Linked DNA regions of Arabidopsis thaliana. The protein of the gene in region 2 interacts with the protein of the main gene of each other region in a pairwise test. Each region holds a gene or a part of one and is shown on either strand. Other genes may lie near its edges.

The links.
Region 1: the proteins of AT4G27580 (region 2) and AT1G57540 interact in a protein complementation assay, tested with the Arabidopsis thaliana proteins (one large-scale study listed by BioGRID).

What each region holds. Positions count from the first base shown.
Region 1 is NC_003070.9:21,309,445-21,313,376, forward strand, and holds AT1G57540 (40S ribosomal protein), read right to left. Parts: upstream 2,078-3,932; 5' UTR 1,969-2,077; exon of another isoform or gene 1,778-1,968; 5' UTR 1,772-1,777; coding exon 1,624-1,771; intron 1,198-1,623; coding exon 1,034-1,197; 3' UTR 451-1,033; downstream 1-450. Other genes in the region: AT1G57550 (Low temperature and salt responsive protein family), read right to left, coding at 3,097-3,180, 3,291-3,365.
Region 2 is NC_003075.7:13,764,977-13,768,280, forward strand, and holds AT4G27580 (phosphatidylinositol transfer SFH5-like protein), read right to left. Parts: upstream 1,622-3,304; 5' UTR 1,331-1,621; coding exon 1,211-1,330; intron 1,051-1,210; coding exon 856-1,050; 3' UTR 683-855; downstream 1-682. Other genes in the region: AT4G27570 (UDP-Glycosyltransferase superfamily protein), read right to left, coding at 1-42; AT4G27585 (SPFH/Band 7/PHB domain-containing membrane-associated protein family), read right to left, coding at 2,008-2,292, 2,388-2,447, 2,710-2,801, 3,024-3,122.

The DNA.
Region 1 (3,932 bases), on a different chromosome or scaffold from region 2:
TTCTTTGCGCCAAGAACTGTGCAAAAACCACATGTGGATGGATCTTTTGGTTTTGTAGTCTGCCTAGTCAATGGTTCAAACATCATAAGGTGTCAAGTATAGTGAAAGTAACCTCTGACATTTCCACTCATTCCCTATAACAAACTTGGCATGTAACGTAACTTAACCTTTTACCAAAAAAAAAAAACTTGACATGTATGCATTTCTCTTATTGAGTTCTCTTTTGATAACGATTTTGTTGTAATACTCTTGTCAAAGAACACTGAAAATGGAATGAAACAAGCTTTAGAAAATAAGATCTGACCCTACCGGATTCAAACTATTGACCTAAGGATGTTCTGCTTCAACTATTGTTTTCATTCGAAATGCAAAGAAACAACCTCCGTTCCAAAAAGCTAGATCTTTGGCCTCCATAGCTTGCAGAATTCACTTGATTAAGTTATGTTCTCCATGACATTATAATACCACAGGCTTATATGCTGTGTCTATATGACAATATCACTGAAATCCTAGCTCTTTACTCACATTCAAAACACATTGATGTCGATTATAATTAATTAATTAATTATGCTCGAGAAATGGTAGCATTAGGTTTGTTGGTGATCAAACATATTCCTACACATATTTAACTAGCAGGCATCTCCATGAAGTCACAACCTCGGTGTGGATATTCCACCTATGACTAGTTTGAGGGGATAGTGAGACCCAACCCTCCAAATAAATCCAAAGGTCTTCCCTTCGACAGCAAAAGCTTTAGAAAGCTAAACACTCTCCCAAAAGAGTGTGACCAATGGCCAATTACACTACACTCATAATCAAACACACACGAAAATGAGAGAGGAGCATAGGATGATACTCTTAACTCTATCAACCTAAAGGCTATATGAAAAAATACACCATAATTTCTAAAGGAAACAAAAAGTGACAGAATTTGGTAGTATTATAAATAGTTACCTAAATTCATGTACTGCAAGAAAATGTACAGAAGATGAGGTCCATACACATCATAGGTAAAGCCAGATTATGATGGGGTTTAAGGGAGTGAAGCTTGAGGGGTTTTGATGTTATCATATGCAGCAATGTTTTGTGGTTCACATTCAGGGCTGAAGAGACGGACAAGCATTGCAGTTGATGTGCTTACGGACAAAGCACCACACCCAGCCCACCGCAGACTCCTTGGCACTGTGATCCTTGGACCTACACATTTCCCAAAGAAAACATTTGCTTTTATAACCGTTCTATCTTAGAATTGACTCAACTATTCTATTCTACGTTCCTTTTACTCTTAAAACCACATAAACAACAAACCAACCCCAAGAATCATTTTTCATGACAATAGGAATCAAAGAACAAGTGTATTGCTTCCCAAAACGTGTAAAGATCCAATCTTTCACCACATCAAACTATTCAATCAAAGCTCCTTTTGGATTCATTTTTCTCATAAGAAACGGATACTACAGAACAGAAAACAGAATGGTAATACGCATTGGTATGTTTTCATAAGGCTACAAGAAATCTTTCTAACAATCAATTATGCAGAGCACTGGATTCAATAGCTATATGGAGAACAACCTTTTGATGGAAACGCAAATCACTGATTAGAAAGGAGAGAACTTTGTTTACCATAGTGAAGTCTGCAAAGAACCCAGAAACCAAGAGCTCCACCAACAGTGAAAATGGCAGCTGTTTGTTTCATCAGTCTTGAACATGGCTTAGCATCTGATCTCATCAGATCTCCTTCTGACCATCCTAACTTCTGCCTTAACGCCATTTCTCTCTGTAATAACAACACCAAATTAATTTAAGTATAAGAGAAACGAAACTATTCGGTTTTGTGATTAAGATATTCACTGAGGCATTTCATCGAGCAGTATAAGGGCAACTTCAAAAACGAGCAACAGATATAATAACTCTATATGGGTTAAGATCTAAGCAGTAAAAAAGAGAGCAGAATTGGTACATAAATACCAGAAGCAAAAGCAATCTCTGTCGTTACCGGTGATGCGTAGTTTCTTTGGCTGTGTCGCCGTCGAGCTTGTCGGAAGAAGACGGAGAAGAGAATCAGATCCACGTGTCTAATTAGCTGATATTTGGAAGCCCAATAAGTGTTAACTATCTTAATGGGCCGGACACAATAATCGTCGGATCCAAGTGATACACGTGGCTCGGAAAAACAATTTGTTTTTTCAAGGAGTTGGTTTCTGTCTTTCTGAATTAATTAAAAGGTTTTTTTTTCGTTAATTAGTACGAACTAATTAAAAGTTAGTGTAAAGTAGATTCGAGGTTTCACCGAGGTACACTTAGAGAGTTAGAGGGGATTGCAAAAAACCTTAATTGACAGCATTAACAATGGATTAATAGACGCATCTATTATCGGAATTTACACCGATATCTTGGATATTTAAGGTTAGAAAATAATATTTTTCTCATTCGAATCGTTGTTGTAACCAAGTAGCTCATAATTTTTTTCATTATGGGAGAGCATTGACTATACCAATTGATCCTCTTTGGTAAGATGGGACGATTTCAATAGATTTTGTTTACATTTTTTGCTTACCACTTTGAGGTAAAGAATTTGTATATGCAGGGATTATTGGGAACGTCTTCATGGGAGCCTATACCACACGGTATTCGATTCAAGCAATCTTCAAATCGGAATTGCAGAAGCTATATAAAATTATAAATGTATGTACACAGGTTTATATTTATCGTTATACGCATAAGTAAACTGTGTGTATCGATGACTCCATGTAATATCTCTATCAGAACTTTATAGTTCCTAATGGTACTAATAATTTGATCACTCTTTAGATGTAGTATTACTACAATTCAAAATTTATATCACGCATATAATAATATCATCAATCTTCCAAATCTGTTTATGATCCGTAAAATGTATCCATAACCTCTGCAAACTAGAACAACAGCAATTTGGAAACTGCTGGAATTTACATACATCTAACATAGCAAAAAGTTTGCTAGATTACAAAACTGATTCCTTAAATACAACATAAAAAATCTAAAAAAGCAAACATTGTTGGAAAAAGAAAAAGTTATAAAATAAAAAAAGGATCCAGTGTTTTTGATTGGTTATTCCTACTTGGTGAGAACGTAGATGGCATATATCAGTCCGGGGATAAAAGCGAATAACGTTAGAAGCAAACAGACCCAAAACTCCAACTGCAAACACATATACAAAGAAACAAAAAAACAAGAGATTTGATCTTACTTTGACCATTAATGTCAAATGTGTCATATATTTTTATGATTTATGAATGAAAAAAATTTACCCCAAGGCCATATCTGAGGAACACACCAACAGGAGGTATGAAGATTGCACAAAGAACCTCAAGGAAGCTACCCATTTTTTTCTTCTGTAATTTTATGTTTTTTTTATATGTTTTTTTATGTTTTTTTTTGTTTTTCTGTTTCTTAGTTTTGAACTTTGTTTTATTTCTTCTTACGTGTTCATTTCCATTTATGAACTTTGTAAAAGAACAAGAAAATAGAATTAGTGGTTACGTTAAATAAGGGAAGAAACTGAGTTTGATTGTGTAACGTCCTCTGCTTGTTCCTAAAATGAAGGAGCTCCACTTCAACACAAACAACACAACCCTTTGCGTTTTGACGCAACCTTCCGTTGTTCATCGGTTGGAAACAAAAAAATGGGATGAACACAAATAAGAAGTCGAATAACTTAAAAATAAAATGTTTTGTTTTTGGGCAAAGAAATTAAAATGTTACAATCATAATGTCTGTTACAAAAATAAAATTAAATTTCATGGATTACAAATATATATAGGCCATTAGTTTGTATTAGTATCATCTTATGTAGATAAAATGTTTGCTTTTAACTCAAGTGTAAACATAATTTTTAGTGATTTTTATCAAGTTTTTTTTCTTTTACTCAAGTTTTTTTTCCAAACATGTAA
Region 2 (3,304 bases):
GAACCATGGATACATAAGTACATGAAACTTCAAACCACCCATTTCTGTATATTTTCTTTTCGTTTTCTTGTTTCTTTGTATCTCTATTATGCTTTGGATACTAGATGGGTCTATATATAGTGCCAGGGTTTGGTGTGAAAATCTAACAAGGCCTACCTAACTCTGGTTGTGTTCTCTCGATAGTTATTAATATATACACCGTTTGGTTGTTGCTGACATGATTCTCATACCAAAACATAACGCTGGTTTTCCCATTTGCTGCTTTGATTGCTTATTTATAGTTGTATTACTGGTCGATTGAGCCTTGCGTAGACACGTCTGATTGGGGTCCGTTAAAATTTTAATTGAGCCTCGATATAGATGCGCACTAGATGTATCCATGGTGGCCTGTAGTATTTGTTTACGACCAATAAAACTTGGGGTGTTCGGTAAAAGTGTACATTGCCTTCTCCGAAATCCAACTAAAACCGTACCGGAAATTTAATATCCTTGCTATAAATGCGTGGTAGTTGGAATCGACATGCAAAAAGAACCAAGATTTTGTAGGCCATGTACTCATTCTTCATTTTATCCTCTGCAACCGTGGGACATAGAGGAGGAACCTCTAGTCTAGATATCGATCTACTTGGTGCCAACTGAATGTCCCAGTTTTAGTGTTGATATTTACACATCATAAGCTATATAAAAAAGAATTGTAATTTTTCGTTAATCATAATTTACTAGAGGCGGGCACAACAGAATGTACATGGGTATTGTACATATTGACAATAGAACAGAGATGAACATACGAATAACAATGTGAGAAACACTTGCACTTGCACATACTCATGATTTTGAGATTTGATGAAATGAAAATCAAAGGATCACGAGAGGGGCCTCATCGGTTTTAGCAGCAGGTGTGGTCTCTTGTGCTGGTGGCTCAGTCTCAGAAGATGTTTTTTCTTCTGCCTTCACAGCTTCTGGAGTTGGCTCAGCCTTGGTTGCCTCAGAGGAGTCCTCTTTTGTCTCACCTTCCTTCTTTGTCTCTTCAATGGACTCTTCCTTCTTCTCCTTTAATCAACAATCAGCAACAATAGTTTTAACTTAATATGAGTTTGTTCAATCAAGAATTTGTAGTAAATTCTGTTTAATTGGTAAATTTCATGTTATTCAATTCAAGAATCTTTAAGATCATCTACTAAATTATTTAGAAAGAATATATTGGACTCACCTGAGTTAATGTGGCATCTGTCTCGGTCGCGGCATTCTTGGACTCAACAACAGCATTTTCGGTCGAGACAGAGCCTTCGACGATGTCAGATTCCTTAGGTTTGCTCGCACAGGCTCCCATGGTTTTTGGATTGAAAGGATTAGTTTGGAAAACAAAACTTACAATGGGAAGAGCTGTGGAGCAAAAAAAGAAAGAAAGAAAAGGAGAACTCCTCTAGACAAAGCTGACTTTGAAGAGGCCAAAACTCTTTAATTTTATAACCGGAGGCTGAGCAAATGGAGGAGAGGGCTGTGAACAGATTCATACAGGAATCGTATGGACTAAAGCTATTTCAGGTAAAGTTTTGGTTAATTTCAGAATCACAAGTCATTACACCTTTGATTCTCTGTGAGGACCTATTTATCCGGAGGACAACTTTTATCTCCACCATTCTTCTATATCCTGTTTAGGGGGCAATGGCTTCTTTTCTGCTGGCAAATTCTGACATCTCATGGATTCACAAGCTCCTCCTGGTTAGATTGCAATACTCTGCAACCGAACCGAATAATAACGGGTACAGGTAATAAGCAATGCAATGGGAATAAAGGTGAATAAGAACACAAGGACCATGTTCATAACAAATCCAGTAGGAAAATTCTTATCGGAGAACAGATGTTCAGATTCGTTTCTATATGCAAAGTGATGATATTCTAGCTATTCAAACGGAAAAGATGGTTACTGCCTCATATTTGAAAGATGAAAAATGGTTTCCAGTTTTCTCAAGCCCAAAGAATTTATCTCATCCCCGGTTCGGCTGCCTACTGCGGATCCTTGTTGCGGTTCTGAAGAGAAAATCGTGGTTCACCGGTGTGACCTGGTTTCTCTGTGTCAAATGATATTGAGCCTGATCGGTTATTAGAGCCTTCTGATATATGTTTCTCACCCATGTCTTCCAACTCTTCCAAATCTGTTTCATCAAGTGCTTGTGTTTCTTGGTGATCTTTGCTTGGACCATTGATGACAAGGCTTTTGTACATTGTTAAAGCTTGAGCAATCATGCTAGCAGGATTTGAAGCACCACTTGGAAGCAACATTATCGTACCCTAAACCCCAAAAAAAAACAAAAAACATGAACATTACATAAGCCCGAGCTATGCCAAGAGACTGGAAGAGATTACAGTAATTGATTTGTTTTTACCTCCTTGGCAATGTTACCGAAGGCTGTAATGTATTGCTCTGCAACTCTCAAACTCGCCGCCTGCAAATTTTACAGTGACACCGTATGAGATCATATTTTGGACAGAAAAAGTTAAGAAACCTAAACACAGCAATAATAGTGATATGACTTAAAATTCCAAAAGTTGGAAAGTTCAAGAAGACACAGAACCCTTTATCCAAAGAGAATAAAGACGTACACATTTAGCAATTTGTGTAAATACTATGAAGAATTAATTAATCAAAGCTAGTTAGTTAAATCAAAACTATGAATACCAATATTCTGCTTGATCTCAATTACTCACCTCTACTCCCCCAGTTTCCTTGAGGGACTGAGATAACAAGACCAGGCCTTTCGCAGTTGCTTGTGCTCTAGCTAGTATTGCTTCTGCCTCACCTGTAGAACATCATCAAGGATAATATAAGAAAAAACCAGTGGGAGATAGCAACCATATTGTGCATTAGCAGTAACGAAAATAGTTCCTCATGCACCAAGCATTCATCAGTGTACAGTGGAAAAATAAGCAAATGAAAACTAACTTTTTCTTCTAGTGAAACTAACTAACAATGGACATAACATGCAACTCTGATGTGTTCTCGATCTTAATGGCTCACTAACCTTGTGCTCGATTCACCTGGTCCATCTTTGCTGCTTCAGATGCCAAGATTACAGAACTTTTCTTACCATCAGCAATGTTGATATGGGATTGCCTTTCTCCTGTCAAATTTAGTAAAGCAATGATTAGAAACATGCTAAGCAGGCCTCTTCTTTTCCAAATGCAAAAAACGAAACTCAAAAGGAATAACAGATAGATTTTAGCCAAGAATAACATTATGAGCCGTAGCAAGCACTGCTCAGTCTCGAAGATGAGTTCTCAAAGACAAGTCAGTCAAGGTTAC